Linked DNA regions of Stegostoma tigrinum. The main gene of each other region encodes a partner of the protein of the gene in region 2 in a complex. Links are inferred from orthologs where the notes say so. Each region holds a gene or a part of one and is shown on either strand. Other genes may lie near its edges.

Region 1 (10,259 bases), on a different chromosome or scaffold from region 2:
ACCAGCAGTGTGCCCAAAGCTCTGATTCAAGAATACTGTCAAGAGAAACAATAACACTCAATCATTACATGTGGGAAACTCAATGATGACCCATACAAATAACAAATTCCTGCCAATAGATGGGTTTGCCACCACCATGATTCCTGGTTTCACAGCTCCAAGACAAATAATAGGCCGGCCAACACAGCATCAGCACAGAGCATCCTATACCATTGGCAAAAACAATGTTCACAGCATATGTGGTAGACTTTGACTTCCCAGAATTGCTTCTTCAGCCATTAAACGATTAGAATAGATTATCTTAAGTGAGCTCACCAAAGTGTGTTGAGGATACATTGACAACCTTTTGCCTGTAAAGGATGTTGGGAATCATTTATATATCCTGCTACGTAAACCTATAAGTTCTTCTTTTAAAAGAAAACACCAGTCATTTTATTGATCTTATTTTAGCAGAGATGACCACAATATTCATCAGTCAGTACTAGTTCCCAGAGATTTTGGCCACATACCAAATGTTGTATTTGGAGACTTGAAACCAGTTCTGCATGAAGAAATTGAATGTAGCAGGCTAAATAGCACCAGTTTCTATCCGTCATCTTCATATTATTATTACTACAATACTTTTATGATATAAAAAGTCAGCAAGGAAAATGTTAAGTTTTGCTCAGTTATTGTTAGATTTTTAACTCAGTTGTGAAACAATAAATTATAGTTACTCTTGAACAACCTCTCCAGTTGTGAAACATTAATCCCACAGAGCACATTTAAAATTGATCGATTACTAAAACAAAATTTTTTAAAAATTTATTTTCAAAATTAATAACTATTCTTTTTCATTAATCCCAAATCCCATTAACTTTTTATGAAATGATTATACAGGAACTATATTCCATGTGTTTTGCTTTCAGCTTCAATTAGTGAAGATTCTCACAGTAAAGAATTAGCTTGTTGCATTTCTGGATTCCACAGATTTTCTATAAATATTATCAAAATCAAATTCATTAGCTTTGAAAAAGGAAATGTATGCTTTGGACAGAACTCCACTACCTTTAGACTGCCCCAGGGTTAATGGCAAGTATGCTTTTGCCACTGACTGTAAAATCTGTGCAAATAATATGATATGTACAGGAGGCAATATTTAATGCTACCCACTTTACTGCATTAATAATGCTACTGTATGCAACTTAAACAATTCCAAGGAAAGTTTTCAGATTACATGTATTTTGATGATGTCAAACAACTCATGAAGCCTGTTACAAAGCAATGACTTTAATTAAGTTATCCTTTATCCCTTTTACAGAAAGCATTTTTCAGAATCATGCTTTGATCTGAACTTAAAAGGTATTCTGGAATAAAAGGACAAAGCTTACATTTTGCTTAACTATTTATTCTTTAAATACATCAGAAATTTGCTCCCAGATACTAAGAATAACATTTTGTTGCTAGATATTTAGTAACCCCATCAATCTTGAGTGATTTCTACTACAATATCAAGGTTTCATGTCTGCATTTTTTTTTAAAATCAGTGCAAGGATTCTAATGTTTCTGGATTGTAGAAGGCAAAATGTGACTATGTTATTTTTATTAACCTTAACTTTCCAAAGTAAATTCAACTTTACTTTGCATCTGACTCCAAGCAAATATAACTCCAAGGTTATACAAGTCAGACTGGAATCTAACCTTTAATGCTATTTCTCTCTCCACAGATGCTTCCAGATCTGCTGACTTTCTCCAGCGCTTTTGTTTTTATTTCAAATTTAACTCTCAACACAGGGAAATTTTGCAAGTAAACATAACTGAATTAATGTCAACTGACCAACTCTAAACATAGTAGTATCCCATCAGGAAAAGAATCAAAATTGTTCGTAATTACTGGAAAGTATTTTTTTTCAAATTCAGATGTTAATTCCCAAACCCACTAATATCTGTATCTTCCTGTAACTAAACTAATTTTATGCATGACATGATGTAAAAATATGCCTTCAATGAAAACTCAATTACAAATCTAACTTGATTTAGCTGCCAGTTTCACTCACTAACCCTCTATAGCCAAAAAATCAATAGCTGTCTACCAAAATAGAATCCATTAGTTCATTCGTAAAACAAAGTTAGACATCTTATCCATGATTAGGAAGTGACCCACATATGGTTTATGACTCAGTTAAGGAAACTGTATACCATTAATGATTAATTCACTGAAAGGAAAGTAGTAATAATATCTAAATTTCAGCAGCATAGATCATTGTTACTTCATGAAAGTTACGAAGTAATGGGAAGATCACAAGCATTTCCAGTGTGTAATTCCCAAATCCAAACAATTTTAACAAATATTATCAACAATATGTTCCACAAAGTTGTGGTAACAAACATTGCGGTTAAATAATAATTTAAAATCAGCATTTGAAAGTTTTACTTTTTTTATAAACAAAATACAGCAGTGAGGAGAGTTCTGCTCGTTTGAATAAAATTGCAATAAAATACTAATTTAATAGACATTCTGCATTTTTGGAGAGGAGAAAAAACATTGTATTCATTTCTTATGTTAACAATATAAATTGTTCACCCATTTACTATTAAAATAAGGTTAGTTTGGGCTGTCATCACTTTTACTGCCAGGGAATCTAATAAATCCTAACTAGTCATTAAATTATTCTACCAACATTTATTCCACATTTATGAAATGGGTCTGCCTAAACCCCATGTAATGGTCAACAATTGAATGTTTATTTAAAAGTGGAAATTACTGTTAAAATAAGTCAATCGAACACAATCGCCTTTCAAGAGAAGTCGTTGTGCAAGTGTTGATGAGATCTGAAATAAACCGTCAGCGGTTTGGTGCGGGAGGGGGGAGCTGTCCATTGTACTGTACCACAAACTGACGGGCTGCAACAAGATGCCATGACACTTCCCATTCATTCAATTTCTATTCCCTGAGCACTGAATGCACAAATACTGAAAATCCACACTGCTATATCAGCCACCTTTTCTTAAAACAAAATGAGCAAACTGTCCATTTGCTATGCTTAATGGAGAAGGAGGGTCTGAAAGATATGGTCGATTGTAATATGTATTAAAGTGTATACGATTTGAAAAGCATGCCAGGAATTTAAGTTTGTTCCCATTCCAGAATCCGTTTGACGTATTTACTTTACAAAAACTGCTCCTGTTAGTTTAGACAGTCGAATCGTTCCAGAATAGGAATTTGACAGTAACTTCTACAGTCTCTGTCCTGGCACAAAGGGTGGCAGGATCGGTTAATATTTTAACTTCTAATGAAGCAAAACTGAGGCGTGGGTGGGTGGGTGGGGGGGGTTGTAGGAGGGAGGTTGCGCGAAACAACCAACCAACAATCCCCACACCCACCCCAGGTGCGGTTATTCGTCAGTAAAAATCTGACAGATGGGCTGCAACGAATTCATTCGTAAGTGCTAGTGGCATGAGGGTGTCACTAACTCTGAAATATCAAAACAAACTGGATGTCCAGCACATTTCACATAGAAAATAACTGCCACATCATTGAAATATTATTTCGGGTTCAAATAATGAGGCCCGAACGGCTTCATCTGGTTTGACAGCGATCCAGACAGTCGCTCGCTAAAGAAAGAGCAACCCCTTGACGAAACAACCCCTCACTCTCTGTGTGTCAGGTGAATGCAAATGGACCAAATGACTATTTTGCTTAAAATTTCTGAATGAATCGTGTGTGTGTGTGTATATATATGTGTGTGTGTGTGTGTATATATATATGTGTGTGTGCGCGCACCTACTAAAGTCTATGAGAGGCTGCTGATATCCATTCATTCACTCATTCATTGATGAACCATTGCAGCTCCGTGGAAGCAGTGAGTGACAGGAGGCGTTGGGGTAGGGATGATGATGGTGGGGGTAGGTGGGGGGGCCTCTTACCTCCGACACAAAGGAGAGACATGTCTCCGGTCTCCTCGGCCACGCTCCACTGATCCTCCTGCTCTTCCAAAGACTTTTCTCCTCTCTCTCTCTCTCTCTCTCTCTCTCTTTCTCCGGCCGTTAGATGATACACGTATGCTTTTCTTTATCGTCTTGTGGAGAGGTTAAAGAGTCTGTAGAAAGAGGCTGCCCCTATCGCCCGGCTCTTTAGCAGTAACAGCAGCTCCTCGTTGTCTCCGTCTGCCTGTCTCTCGATGTCTGCTCCTGACCGTTACTCTACGGCCGCCATTTTGTTGGGAGCAGCCCCTGGCCCGACTGACGTCACAATGGGGCGGCGCGAGAATGGATTTGGCGGGATGACAGCAGCTGAACAGATCCCAACAGGGATCCGGAGAAATCGCGGGCGGATTCCCTACTGGATCCGGGGATACGGCGGCCAACTCCGGATAGATCCCAACAAGAATCCGGAGAAATCGCGGACGGGATCCAGAGAAATCGCGGCAACTCGAGACAGATCTCGACGAGGATCCAGATAATTCACATACAGATCCCAATAGGGAAGCGGAGAAATGGTGGCCAACTCCGGACAGATCCCCACCGGGATTCAGAGAAGGCATACCCAACTTCGACAGATCACAGATCTGGGAACATACCGCAACTCCAATTGGTTGCCAGCAGCTCTGGAAAGATCCCAATAGGTATGTATAGATCCAACAAATCCTAACAAATCACAGCCAATCTGGATAGATCCCAAATACGGCACATCTCTGTTATACCCAGAAAGTCTGGACAGACCTCGGCAACTCCAGATAGATCCCATCAGCTGTTCATCAATCTCAACAACACCAGAGAAATCACTATGGCTCAAGTCAGATCCCAGATGGTGCAAACAAGGCAGATCCCAGTCAGATTCCACAACTCCTGACAGATCCAAATACTTGGACATTTCACAGCAACTCCAGATAAATACCAGCAACTTAATGTACTTTGGGAAAACTGCAACAGAGCACAGTGTCAGGTTGGTAGATCAAAGCAACTCCAAGCAGGAAGTCTTACCAGCCAAAAAAAATAGAAGTTGCTGGAGCAACTCAGCTGTTTCGTATTGTCTTCTTAAGACCAGACTCCAAACATTAACTGTGATTTCTCTCCACAGATGCTGCCAGACCTGCTGGGTTTCTCTTGCAATTTCTGTTTTTGTTCAGATTTCCAGCATCCACAGTTCTTTGTTTTATTTTACAGTTAGGAGCCAGAAAGACTCAAGCTGCTCCTGCAGTAACAATGTTGAGCCAGCAAATAGACATATCAAGTAATAGGCATGAACCAGAGAATGTCTGACAGAGTGAGGGGCCTCACCTCAGAGGCAATGTCCTATCAGACAATGGGACTGTTGAAAGAAGCATTCACCCAAAGTCCCCTTTCCTATTTGAGCTCCAAGCCGGCATAACTACTGGGATTCCTGCTATCTTCCTCACAGTCAGAACATTGTGGCTGGGTGTGAGGAGGTGGGTGGGTAAGCAGCTGGAAATCACTCTTTGAATGTTTCACCCCACCACACCAGCAAATATGGCTATAAAATGATACCCATGGAATCTTCCCCAAACTAAACCCACCCAAATACACTCGATCTTAAACTCATTCATGTTAAAATTCACCATGCTTCCCCAAAGTGTCTGAAGATACAATAAGACGAGAATTTTCCAGAAACAAATGATTACATAATTGCATCTTCATTTTGAAGATGGTCGGTCTAGGAGCAGCAGCGTTAGAAGCATTAAACAAACACTTTATATTTAGTTATTTCCTAATACAAAATTGTTACGATATTTAAATAATTATGTTAAAGATTAATTATGATTGCTTGTGTGAGGTGTTGGGGAAGGCCATTTAAGTTATCATCCTAGTCAATGGCCTTAATTATGGGTAAGCCTTACAAATGCAACACCATAAAAACCGAAAGAACTGCGGATGCTGTAAATCAGGAACAAAAACAAAGTTGCTGCAAAAGTTCAGTGGGTCTGGCAGCATCTGTGAAGGAAAAAACAGAGTTAACATTTCGGGTCCAGTGACCCTTCTTCAGAACACCACGCAACACTATGTCTAGGGATATACATGAACATTGTACTCATCAAATCATGCTCACCATTATTTGGGGATGTAGTGTGTGGTGCCATGGGTGACAAGTGCAAAACATCTGCAGAACAACAAGACCATTGTGATCAAATTGCTGGCTATTTAAGCAAGCACATACTATTTTACCGCACGGTGATGCTACTACATTTGGCTGGAAGTATTTATCAATAAAGATCACTTGCATTTATGTAGGATCCAATCGTGCTAAAATGTTTCAAATTGTTTCAGTTGATTAATTACTTTTAGAGTGTAGCAATCATTCTTCTGTAGTCAAACAGAACAGCAATTCTACTGCGTTATGCTGAGGCAAATCAGTAAATTGCTCCAGTAAGTTCAGCTATGTAATAAATTCAGCTTTATCATTGTTCAGAAGAAGACTGTGCAAATCGTTTACCAGCTGTGTATGGAAACAAGATAATACTCAAAACTACAGATTGGTGAGCTTTACATCTGTAGCAGGTACAACATAAGGTGGCATCCTGGAGGAAGATTAAAGGAGTTGTTTTTTTTCTAAAAATAAAATCAAATAACAAGAGCTATCTAGGTCTTAGCATTCAGAGATTATGTTTGACAAACTTAATCAGAGTTCATCAACACAAGATTTAGTGGAAAGACAATTCAGTGGACCTCTGGATAATGTCACATTGTGGTGTTTTCAGGAGGAAAAAGTGAGGGATGACCTACAATATTGTAGCCTGGATTCTTTGATACATGCTGTCCACGAATACAGCCAGCCCTTCCCTCCCCTGCTCAGAGCACATGACTGCAAACTTACTCCCTATATCCTTCACAACTCAATTTTTTTTAATGAGAATGCCCAGAATTTTGTGTGAACTTGCAAAGGGGCTACAATTTATTCTTTGGATATCAGTTCCACACTTGGAGAAGTAAATTTAGACTTCAGAATAGTGTCTTTGCAAAGTGCATTTGTCCCTAAAATAATTGAGTGACATGATATGAAAGTGAAATGGAGTTACAAGTTTTGACATTTACCATCAGGTTTGCTGTGAAATGTTACATTTATTCATTGTGTAGCTGTTTGAAACACGCAATATTAACATTTATTTTTCATTTTCTAGTTGCCTATTAAATACTGTTCAGGATGAAGCATTCTTTATATCCTGCACGTCATTTATTGTAGTCCCTTCTAGCCGATTGGAATCTGATTCTAATATTCTAACCTGGAACTAGACAGAGGCTCTGGAAATATGAAAATATTGTTGGCAAAATGCCGGGGAATCTTAATGGACTCCCTGAAACAATTCATCATAAATCAGGCACTGCAAGGTGATTATAAATAAAAGTTGAAAAGTCAGAACTAGTCAAGATGTGAATTCCAGAATCACAGACATTTTCCTCCTTTAACCATTTTGACATTCAGAATTTTGTTTATTTATTTACTTCAGGTTATTTACTTTGTTAAATGTGCTCCTTCTTCGTAGCTTAACGAACGACCGTTCTAGCTCACATAAGTACTTTCACGGTTTTTGGTCTGACGTTAACTTTTTCATAGAAACTGATTGTGTTGTTAGAATTAAGCATCCACCCACTGCATCCCAAAACCAGTCCAACCTGTCTCTGCCTCCCTAACCGGTTCTTCCTCTCACCCATCCCTTCCTCCCACCCCCAGCCGCACCCCCAGCTACCTACTAACCTCATCCCACCTCCTTGACCTGTCCGTCTTCCCTGGACTGACCTATCCCCTCCCTACCTCCCCACCTACACCCTCTCCACCTATCTTCTTTGCTCTCCATCTTCGGTCCGCCTCCCCCTCTCTCCCTATTTATTCCAGTTCCCTCCCCCCATCCCCCTCTCTGATGAAGGGTCTAGGCCCGAAACGTCAGCTTTTGTGCTCCTGAGATGCTGCTTGGCCTGCTGTGTTCATCCAGCCTCACATTTTATTATCCTGTAATGTAGTATGGTTTCCGCATTTAAACTCAACATCTGCCCAGCTGTATTTAAAGTTGCAAGGGTCGTTTTTTTAAAAAAAAATTCACTGTCCCCATTCTGCACAGTGGGTACGGCTTGTGTGAGGGCATTGAACCCACTCACTCAAAAGGCGCTCCGTTCACACCCAGCTGCATTTCATCTGCAGCAATTCGCAGTCAGCCAAGAATCTCTATGTAGAAAAGCGGCAGTCTAATTTAAATCTACAAATTGAAGATTAATTATATAACTGACGTGCAATGCGATTTGAACTATGATTCAGTAGGAGGCGTGTGATGTTAAATATGCCAGAAACATCTGACAATATTTAAAAGAAACATCGGGAAGTACTGTGTTCAACCTTTGAGAGGATTCCTTAGGCGGTCTGGAGAAATAGAAATACACTTTAGGCCTTGGATGACTCCTTCACTAGTTCTTGCCAAATTTTCTTCAGCGGCATCGCCTTGCACCCCAGCTTCCATTTCTACTTGCTGACCTCGATATCATTCCCATTCAAATATTAAAAGCAAATGGTGATTAACATTAACCAAAACCTTCCCTCTGAACTTGTTTGGATACCGCCCAGTTTTGGCTTCCCGGGCACAAACCTGCCCAGTTCTTAAAATACCTCTCCCAGAATGTAACGTAGCCTCGTGTGTATAATTATGTATACACACATTAAAAGAAATGGGCGTTTGAACTGTGTTCAAGGTTTCAATAAACTGGGCCGTTCTGTCTTTTATTTGTGAATTGCTGGAGCTCTGCTTCTACATGGTAGTTACAAGTCTTTCAGAGTGCTGCCACTGTCTGACAGAGAGACTGAGATTTCCCACTATGCTGGTAATTACAGCTACTCGCTGACAGTGTAGAAAATAGAGCCACTGATTTCAATTCTGCACATGGTCACCAAATACACTGATATTCGTTATAGTTTATTAAAATGGGGGGAAAGTCGAAAAGGAGCACATAATATCGCAGTGAAGTTGTACAAGACATCCTGAAATCACAAAAGTTCCCATATTACTTATTCGTGAACAAGTAGAAAAGGTGCCTGCAAGACACTAAAATAACTGTTAGAAGTGACTCGTTCCGAAGAAGGGTCATTTGGGGTCGAAACGTTAATTCTGCTTTCTCTCTGCCAGACCTGATGAGTTTCTCCAGCAATTTCTGTTTTTTTTCTTTGATTACGGATTTCCAACATCTGCAGTTCTGGGACTTTGAGTCAAACAGACTCGGATTGAAAAATCGATTCAAATCTGTTTAGGCTGAAACAAAAAGTTGTCAAGTAAACTCAAAGTTACGTTAAAGGCTCGATTCCGGCCCCACAAGAATTTTTCCGCCCTTGTAACAGCAAATAAAATTCTTCCCGACCAACATCACCCAGAACTGCATATTTCTTCCCGGTTACAGGACATCTATCGAACCTACGACAAACTCAGGAGGTCCAACCTATATGCAAACTTGATTGCTACGTGCTTCACCACACAATCCCAGCCTCAGGGCAGACCAAGGTTCTTCCAACCTCTGCCAGAGTAGCAGATTTATGGGAATTCCACCCTCTGCATCTTCTAAGTCACACACCATCGCCATTCGTAACTATAACACCATTTATCCACTGTCGTTGGAACAAAGTCTTGGATCTCCTATCAGACCAGCACTAGGTGCACCTACAACCCAGGGTTGTAGCGACCCACCATCACCTTCTCCAGGACCATATCCTATGGACGAAATTTAAAAAATCAAAGTAGTGTGACTCAGTTGTGAAGCAGTGTATCTTTAAAAGAAAGTGAGAAGAAAATGTAAAATTCATCGAATGATGTGCCATCCTCCTGCCAGTATGTCTGTAGAATTTGGAATCATGGCAGAATTCTGCCATGCGCTTGTGACAGAGAGGACACGATCCTTTACGTCGTCCAAGTGTGGATAATGAGACACTGGAAGACAAGATGAGACATCCGATGAACTATCTGGCATCTATCAAGCCTATACAAAGCTGAAACAATCCCCATTGGAAACCCCTTTGTTTGCCTCCTAATTGTAACCACAGTGTAGACAACTGCGATGATGAAAAGTATACCCACGCCAGAAAACAAGTTCAACCGGATTAATAGACTGTGGAAGATAGCACAGTTTGTGATAATCATATATTTCCTGACAAAAGGCAGCGGGTAGTGGACTTATTAACAAACCCCTTCCCACTGCCCACAGATAATACACCATGACACCGGAATAACAGCAAAACTCTAGGGGCATATCTAAATCTACAACGTGCCAACAAAGCAGGAAAACATACTCTA
Region 2 (9,909 bases):
TTGTGCTGGCTCTCCATAAGTGCAGCTCAGCAATCCAGCTCATTTCACACCATTTTCCAGTTTGCCTGCAATTTTTTTTATCTTCATGTACTTAGCAAATTTCTTTTTCATAAGAATAAACACAAATGTTGCTGAAGAAACTCAGCAAGTCTGGGAACATTCGTGGAGAACGAAAAACAGAGTTTACATTTTCAGTGCTAATAAGACTAATTTTCAAAACTCAAAGATGTTAGAAAATGTGTATTTGTAGACTTTTAGCAGAGGCAGAGCAGGGATAAATCCAACAGATGGTATAGAAGCCTAAAAAGAGATATGTAAAATGGACATGAATTAAGGTATGAAGGGTGAGAATGGGTCCTTTTTTATAGGCAGCAAAGTGATCAAGACAAGGAAGACTGCCTGAGGTGGTGTGGCAGGGAGGACAGAACACAAGAAAAATGGAGAAAGGCACAATTCCTTTTCATAAGTTCACATGGATTGGCCTCCACCCTTCAGTTGGGCACATCATCTTGGATCCTAACTACTCATTATATAAAAACCTTTTCTTCATCATCTTTTTAGACAAATCTGGGCAATTTACCACATATGCCAGCAGTGAACAGTCAACAGGGTTAATATTGACATATGGCACTGTGTTAGATCAATTTCACGCCTCCAGCATGTGCCAGCAACTTTGCGGCAAACACACTGAATGCGTTTCCACTAAATCGCCACATTTCAAAATCTAAGCCGAGTTGTCCTCAGTCACGTCAACAGGGATTACTGTCAATGAGCTTGCCTCACCAGACTTGGTCAAGGGCAGTGTCCAATCTCAAGCCCAGCAGGTCAAGAGTCTATTGACCTCAATGACATTTCTTCAGGATTAGCAGGCTTATTGCTGCCATAGACTCAATGTCCCAGGACACTGTCACAGACTTGTATCATTTGATGGGCAGGATTTGTACCCTCAAGGGCAGATAGCCAGCCCATCAGAATTACTGTCAAGTTGATAGCTGCACTAAATTTTTTATGCAACAGGCTGCTTCCAAAGATCCACTGTAGACCTACTAAGACCTCTCAACCCACAAATGTATCTTGGCTGTTATTGATCCAATTTGTGTCAGTTCACATCATTTATCTGATTTTTCCATGACAGGGTAAGTGTTGCAGCCTGTCAGTATTTGCCAACATAGCTGGCTTCTTCCAGCTATAGGACTCTAAAGACTGTACACATTGTGCTAAGAATATCATTTTAAAAATGGCTGAATTCATCAATAAGAAAAGGATCTATTCGGTCAACATTCAAACAATACATCATCATGGGTATCGCATCTTAAGAGTCTGCTTTGGGCAGCCCAGAAGGTGTCCATATCCTTGAGAATTCATTTCCTGCTTCATCTCAAGGATCATATGGCTTAAAAAGTTTGCTACTTGAGAATAAGGTTCCCCTCTGCATCCACAGTTGCTGACCATTGCATAAACCCTTGATTGAGGCTGAGTGTAGATGCAAAGTGCAGACCATTCTTCCACTAAAGCCACCATAGAGCAGATGCTATGCCTCCTGAAGGTGAAATTCCAATGCCTGGATCAGTCTGACACAGTTTTGCAGTCCAGTCTGTCAGGGTGCATCACATGATCCTAGCATGTTGTGCTCTGTTCACCGGAGCAGACAAAGAGGGGATGTGACGGATGTTGAAGAGCTGCAACTGCAGCAATCTTCAGAGGAGGAAGTTGAGGAGAATGGAGAGGGATAACTCGCCAGAGCTCATGGAGAGAAGCTGAAAATTGACACTTCATCAATTCCAATTAAAATTCAGTTCTATGAGTCTAATGTTCTTAATATAGAACAAGCTAGTATAATGAAACTATTGGAGTATACTATCAATTGAGCAGAATGAACATCACTTTCACCATGATACAGTACTGCAGCAGAGTACAAGAAACCAAATAGGACTAAATTGATGATAATAAAGTGTGAAGCTGGATGAACACAGCAGGCCAAGCAGCACCCCAGGAGCACAAAAGCTGACGTTTCAGGCCTAGACCCTTCATCAGAGAGGGGGATGGGGTGAGGGTTCTGGAATAAATAGGGAGAGAGGGGGAGGCAGACCGAAGATGGAGAGAAAAGAAGATAGGTGGAGAGGAGAGTATAGGTGGGGAGGTAGGGAGGGGATAGGTCAGTCCAGGGAAGACGGACAGGTCAAGGAGGTGGGATGAGGTTAGTAGGTAGGAGATGGAGGTGCGGCTTGGGTTTGGAGGAAGGGATGGGTGAGAGGGAGAACAGGTTAGGGAGGCAGAGACAAGCTCGACTGGTTTTGGGATGCAGTGGATGGAGGGAAAGAGCTGGGCTGGTTGTGTGATGCAGTGGGGGGAGGGGACGAACTGGGCTGGTTTTGGGATGCGGTGGGGGAAGGGGAGATTTTGAAGCTGGTGAAGTCCACATTGATACCATTGGGCTGCAGGGTTAACTCTCCATCTTCGGTCCGCCTCCCCCTCTCTCCCTAGTTATTCCAGAACCCTCACCCCATCCCCCTCTCTGATGAAGGGTCTAGGACCGAAATGTCAGCTTTTGTGCTCCTAGAGTGCTGCTTGGCCTGCTGTGTTCATCCAGCTTCAAACTTTATTATCTTGGATTCTCCAGCATCTGCAGTTCCCATTATCTGTGATACAGGACTAAATTGATACTTGCTTCCAACACATGGCAATTGGTGACATGATCTGTTATTCACTGTAAATTTGTTGTTGCTTGAAAGCAAACAACCACGATTTACATTCAGAAACAAATGAAGCTTGTTTTGTTAGATTTTTATCTTTGATAAACATTTCCCACTATTTGAAGGCCATTCAACAAGTCATACTCCCACAATGAACAATGGTAAGATGTTATGCTCTGCTGCACATTATGGGAGGAGTAGCATTTCCTTAGTCAGGATTGCATCATAGAGTAGAACTAAGGATCAGGCAGGTGATGATGCATTTGTACACTTAGTAAAGTGGGTTTCTATTTCCAATGAACAGTCACCCATGCCTTCAGAAGCTTTTATTTTTCATTTTCTTTGCCATTATACTGTAAACTGAATTCATGCCTGGCAGTGATCAGCCTGATGCAAACGTGGCTCTTAAATAGAGTCTGTCTATAGAAATCTTGGAAGTTTCCAATAGTGATGATGACCACATTTGTTGCTGAGTGCAAAAACAGTGCCATAGAGACAGGGTGCATAAGGTGGCCAAAATTGAGAGATCTCTCAGTAGAGCTCACGGAGAGAAGCTGAAAATTGACATCTAATCAATTCGAATTAAAATTCAGATCTATGAGTGTAATGTTCTTAATATCGAGTAAACTAGTATAATTAAATTATTGAAGCACACTATCAATTGATTGCAAGATTGATAACTTTCCACTTCAATAAATCTCGGTTCAACATAATTTCAAATATTTTCAACCTCCAGCCTCATAATAGATTGTTATATGACAATTTCAGCAGGGCTATTATGTTATAAAGCTATTCTGAAGAAAAGTCTAATTCCAACTGTTTGGAAAAATATGCAAAGCAAAATTTCAACAGATTCAGGTTGTCCATAATCACCTCTGTGGAAATGAAAAGCTACTATCCAAGCTGTCAGACCTCTATGTTGTCAAGGTTCTTTGATTAGTTTAGTTTTCTTTTGTAGGCAAAAAAGTTTTAACATCTGAAAAGCTTCAGAATGCTATTACACCACGTATGAAAGTGAAAAACACAACAGCCACAATATAATAATGGAAATAAATATTAATTCCAGATTTTAATTCATCTTGAGTTTAGTTCTCCTTTCAGCTTAACAATATAGCCCTGTACCATTGTTTCAAGAAAGTTTTCAAATCTTTTCCTTTCCAATTCTTGTCTCTCAACTCACAAATATTAAGATAAACTTGAACATTATTAACTAATATTAGAAACACATTTTAAAATTATTATTACTGCAAAAGTCCATTGAAATGTTGAAATAAAAATTATCCAGCAACTATATTAAATCCTACCTGTTCCAGATGGGCATGACTTTTTGTCAATTATATGGGTACAATTTTCAACAGGTAAAAATACTGGATTTGTCAAGTAACAGTCTTACAGGTTTAAAATCCAGTAATGCTGACCATGTGTACAGCACTCATCCCAGAGATAGAAAACAGCATTCGTATGTGTCTTAGAATTTTCCTGCATCTCCTAGGCAGTCTTCTTATGATTTGTGTGCAATAACAGCAGAAAGCAGTTTATCACCTAACCCCACACTTTCCCCACATCTCAATCTCACGCTGTACTACATGACAAAGTCAATAATGCCAGATTTTTGTCAGAAGGTATACTTCTTGCTGTGGCCATCTTGTTCAATCCATGGCAAACTGCTGCGGCTGCATATGGCTTGCAGAAGAGTGGGCAGGTTTTTCATCTGTTTCACTGTCTGAAATTTCTGTATTAATCCCAATCCAAAAAGATACCTTTAAAACTCAGACTTAAAATTAAACATACAATTCAAATCTCTACAGCCCTGCTCTCATCATATTTCAATGATAATAGTCAGCAGAACATAAAACTGAAGCAGTACAATTCCTCTAGGGAGCACAACAAATTATAGTACAGAGTGGGCAAATGCTAACCTGCTTTGTTCTGAGAAGCTACCACACTGCATTGAACAGAAAAATCAGAAATTAAAAAAGGTTGTGTGCAGACACTAAGGTCAGTTTCATTTCTCAAGAGAAATCTTAACCGATACGTGCAATTATAAAAAAAATTGTGAAATATCATTGATCCATTCTTTCTATATTCTGTATTGGAGCGAGAAGCTGGTTCACAGGTGCAATGTTGGTCCAAAACTTAGATGGAGTGCCAGAATGGCACTTAATTTCAACTGCAACTGTAAATCATTGCCCTGGATTAATAGTATGGGCTTGAAATCGAACTCCAGCATCTATGCAAATAAATAGTGAAAGGCTGTGTTGTATAACAGGGCAATAATTATTAGCTATCATCCATGACCTTAAGAAAAGAATAGTTCAAAAGTATGATCAAAATACAATAAATTCTAGTTACTCGAAAAGTCATCTCTCAGCTTGCCAATTTCTTGAAGAAAAGAGCCTCAACCATTTCAATCCTTCCTGATACACGTACCTCTTTAGTGCATGTTTAATTTGTTTACCAACATTCTGGTTAATGTTGGCAAGAATCTGAATTGGACAAGCAATATAAATAGTGTGGCTGTAAAACCACATAAAAGTTTGGGAATTCTGGAACAGACAGCTCAGCTTCTGTCTCCCCAAAGGCTGCCCGCCATCTACAAAGGCACAGTAAGGAGTATGATGGGACACTCCCCTCTGCCTGGATGGGTGCAACCAACAATATTCAAGTAGCTTGACACCATCCAGGATAAACCTGATTCAGACCATCACCATAAACACTCATTACTCTCAATTCAGAGTGGCCGTAGCGTGTGCCATCTACAAAATACAACTCACCAAAACTTAGGACGGCACCATCTAAACCCACCAGCACTGACTTAGGACAAGAGCAACATAATTGAATTTTAAGAGTCAGGGGCAAAAACGAATGTAGTGGCCATCACTGGTGCTGGGGAAACTGAAAAGTCTGAAGTGATATAAATCACTTCAACCGGATGCACTATACACCAGAGGTCTGAAGCAGATAGCTTAGCGAGCAAGTAAGTTAGGCAAAAAAGGAGAGGCAGAGGACAGTGGTTAGCACTGTTACCTTACAGTACCTGCAAACCAGGTTGACTTCCACCTTCAGACAACTGTCTGTTTGCACAATCTCCCCATGTGCACAGGTTTCCTCTCACAGTCCAAAGATATGCAGGTTAGGTGGATTGGTTATAAACTGTCCATCGCGTGCACAGATGTGCAGACGAGATTAATTAGCCAAGGGAAGTAATGGGTCACAGGAATAGGGTTGGAGGTGGGTAGGATGCTCTTCAGAGGGTTGGTGCTAACACAATGGGCCGAATAGCCTGCTTCCACACTATAGGTATTCTATGAAACCCATGACATCTACTATTTGGGTTTCCAGAATGCCTTTGACAAAGTGCTAAATAAGAAAAAAAGAGTCCATGGTGTTAGGAGAAAAATACTGGCAAGGATAGAGAATTGGCTGACTTACTGATGGCAGAGAGTAGGGATAAAGAAATCTTTTACCGAGTAGCAATTGGTGACTTGTGGAGCTCCGCAGGGCTCAGTGTTACGACCACAAATATTCACTTTGCTCATTATTGATCTGGATGGAAGAACTGAGTGCATTATCGCTAATTTTGCAAATACTAAGTAGAGGGCATGTAATGTTGAGGAAAAGAGGCCACAGATGGAATTAGGCATGCTAGGCAAGTGGAGAAAGAACTGGTAGATGAAATGCAATGTGGGAAAGGTGTGAGGTTACTCATTTCGGTAGGAAGAATAGAGGTGTATTTTCGAAGCAAGAAAGGCTTCAGGAATCTGAAGTGCAAAAGAGACTTGGGAGTGTTTGTTCAGGGTTTTCTTAATAATGATATGCAGGTTCAGTTAGCAACTGCAATGTTGACATTCATTAGAGGGCCAGAAGACAAGAACAGATGTACTGCAGATGCTGTACAAGTTTCTCATCAGACCATGTTTGGAATACGGACAGCAGTTTTGGGCCCATTACTAAGGGGAGAGGAGCTGTGTTGAAGGTGGTCTGGGAGAGGTTTGCAAGAATGATCCTTAGATGAAAGGCCACCATACAACAAGTGGCTGAGGACTCGTCTGTACTCGATGGAGTTTAAAAGGAGGAGGTAAGATCTCATTGAAACTTACAGATAAGGAGGAACTTCTTCAGCTAAAAGGTGGTGACTCTGTCAAACTCATTGCTGCAGAGGGCTAAGGAGGGCAATTCATTGAGTTTATTTAAGACAGAGAGATAGACAGGTTCTTGGTTAGTAAGGGAATCAAGGATTACGAAGAGAGTGCAAGCAAACAGGGTTGAAAAATATATCAACCACGATTGAATGGCAGTCTGACTCGATATGCTGCATGGCCTAATTCTGCTCCCCTATCTTCCAGTCTTAAGATCTGTGTTAAAAGCTCATTGTCGACATTTGCCGATAGCAATCTCTAGACTTACATTTCCAAAGATTAATTATTCTTCAAATCAAACAATGTTAAAGTGTTAAAGGGCTAACGTGGCCAGCCTTTCAAAACAGATGTGCAGGTCACAAGAGATTCACCTACATTTGTTCAATATAACGCAGCAAGAGGGCAACTGCTCATGATAATGATTCCTGCATGTAGCCACAGCTAATCTGCAATTCTGACTGAATGCATCAGCAGGCCCCAACATAATTACAATAACTATTTAAAGCTAGCCTGCACCTCCTAAAAGGAAAGATGCATTGTAACTTCTGGCAATACCGAGATCATTTGGAATGTGCAACAATGACAGACTATGGGAGGGAGCAAGATTTTCAGCTGCTGCACTGGATATCTTGGTAGAAGTGAGTGAATAAACAAGAAATGCTCTGTACACTCAGCAAGACTGGAGACCCTTGAGGTACATCTCAGAAGGCATTGGCAAGAGAAAGAACTAGAGGTCAATGTCAGGAGTTTGGCGCTCAGAACATTAATGCAGTTCTTTCAACTCAAACAAATGATCAAGATCTGCCATTGCATCTTCAATTCCATATCCTATCAACTGTCCCATTAGTCCCACCCACTGGGAAATTCACCAAGTCCCCAACTCTTACACATCAACAATCACTCATGATCAAAACTCATACTTAACTTGCACGTACAAGCCTACAGGAAGGACGCTATGCTGGTCATTATGGGCATGGCCATTGCTGAGACCAAGTCCATAGATATCAACATATGAATTAGGGACAGATGCTCTTTAGAAGGATGGTGTGGACTTGCTGGACCAAATGACCTGCTTCCACACTGTAGGGACTGTACGATTTCGTGATTTTAGATGGACCACCCTCAATGTCAAGGAGTATGGCAAATTCCAACAACGACTAAGCATAGGGCTCTGCCGTGTCTGCAGCACTCACTTTCTAACAAGCAGTAGCACTGTTGTAGAACCTGCCATAATGCAGTATCTGATCTATTTCAGTTTCTTTTGCAGTGAGAGTATGATCCAACCAAGATATCAATGCTACATTGGGATCTCAGACTGGTAATCTGCAATCTTAGTTTTCTGCCATCTCAGTTCATTCAGCTGCCAGGATAACTCCGGATGGCAGGGTGCAAAGAAACAAAGGCATCATCTGCGATCTATTCTCAATTGCTCCCTCTAGGCAAAAACAACCTCATGGTAAAAGTACTTGTCCTTTCCTTCCTAATCTGTTCCACTTTTGCTTATTCTCCTTTCTTGCCCAGTATTGTACTAAGAGAAAAGCCTATTGATTTGCCCATATCTGAGCAGCTGGTCAGTGAAAAAGCCTTTAAAGGCAGCAAAAAATACTTCCAGCACCTTATATTCCACCCCGTGCATTGCTGAAATTTTAACAGAGCTCACCAAAACACAGAATTGCTCCTGAAATTATTCTCTTAAAAAAATTTTTGATGTGAATTCATGTTGCTGCACTAGTGTTTCTTGTGCAAGATTAAGACAGGATATTGGCTTGTAAATGGAAGGCCAGCATCAAATATGAAATGATATGCTTGCTCTATATTTATAGAGCAGACATTACGTGCTCAAACATTAATTTCTTTGTCAATTGGCATCCACTGTACTTTCCGTCAGGTATGTAATGTATGCCATAGATACTACTTTGGAACTTTGAAGGACCTTATACCTTCATGTGTTGCAAAGATCAGGTTTGCTTCAGATACTCAAAATATTTAGCTGCTATGCATCAATGGCATTGTAAACATGGGAGAAAGATTTCTTGGTTTGATCTGCATGGTAATGTTCATTTGTAACTATATATTATCAACACCATCAACTTTGACCAGAAGTTTGGAAGCACCCATTCTTGGCGTTTGGGAAGTACAGGGAAGGTACAAGTGTCAAGAGACATTCAGCTTTGGCCCTCATTGCAATGAACTACTGCAATGCCACAACCTCCTGGCATAGACAGGCTAAGACTAAGACTGATTTATAATCAAGTACTGCAATTGTTACAACATCCTTCCAGTAAGTAGGTGAGACTGGGAGGGGAACACATGATTCAACTTCAGTCAGGGCAGTGGTTAGTGTTGCAAAGATCAAGGGAGCAGTGATGTTAGAGCAAAGTTTTACATATATTCAAATACAGGCTTCTTTCTAAGAAAGGGATCTTTCCAGCTTTGTGCTTTTTCAATTAAAATCCTGGGGACCCCGGTGCCCCCAGGTACTGGTGTATTGGCTATTGCATATCTTGATCAATCATACTCAAACCTGCCCTTTCTCAAATTTAAATAAAAGCTTAGGAGTACCTGTTCACTGGGTGCAATCTCCCCGGCAACACCTCAAACAATCGCAGTTCACTCACCAATCAGCAGCATCTGTTTCAGGTAGTATAAACTTTTGTTCCCTTTGAAATTTGGCATTCTTGCATCTACCCTGCTCAGTTGCTCATTTATTTCCTCCCAACAATACTCAAGTTCTGTACAGCCAAGCAATTATTTTTACAACGGAATATCCTAGTCAGATCTGAGCAGCTTCAGTGATTTAGCAGGAAGATTAGGTCAGTGCAAAATTCCAAGATTTCCTTCGCTCACTGTTTTGGGGAGACCATAAAAGATTTCCCTGGATCTGATCAAACTTAAATTGGAATGCATCAATTTGGAACACCCTTACTGTTTTGCTAAGAAAAACAGTTACAACAAAATATCCTCTATTGACAATGATTTTAACCCGTAGGAAAAACAAATCAACTATATTTCACTCAAACAATATTGCCAAATGTCTGGGGCGAACATATTAAATAGCAGAGCAGGTTTGGAGGGCC

The links. Proteins that work in one complex are often made in the same cells at the same time.
Region 1: the proteins of rims2a (region 2) and protein unc-13 homolog A-like are in contact, whole or in part, in a crystal structure (PDB 2CJS), measured with the Rattus norvegicus proteins. The link is inferred for Stegostoma tigrinum from reciprocal best matches to the Homo sapiens genes RIMS2 and UNC13A. Residues at the interface, in XP_063118965.1 of Rattus norvegicus: Asp102, Gly103, Cys104, Ser109, Gln112, Val123, Leu125, Ser127, Asn128, Lys129, Val134, Met135, Trp136; in NP_074052.2 of Rattus norvegicus: Tyr23, Ile36, Trp65, Leu69, Ile70, Trp71, Asp72, Thr73, Met74.

What each region holds. Positions count from the first base shown.
Region 1 is NC_081383.1:22,119,522-22,129,780, forward strand, and holds the start of protein unc-13 homolog A-like, read right to left. Parts: upstream 4,209-10,259; 5' UTR 3,929-4,208; coding exon 3,907-3,928; intron 1-3,906. UniProt on the Homo sapiens protein: Plays a role in vesicle maturation during exocytosis as a target of the diacylglycerol second messenger pathway.
Region 2 is NC_081358.1:60,890,443-60,900,351, reverse strand, and holds the start of rims2a (regulating synaptic membrane exocytosis protein 2), read right to left. Parts: upstream 4,180-9,909; 5' UTR 4,015-4,179; coding exon 3,998-4,014; intron 1-3,997. UniProt on the Homo sapiens protein: Rab effector involved in exocytosis. May act as scaffold protein. Plays a role in dendrite formation by melanocytes.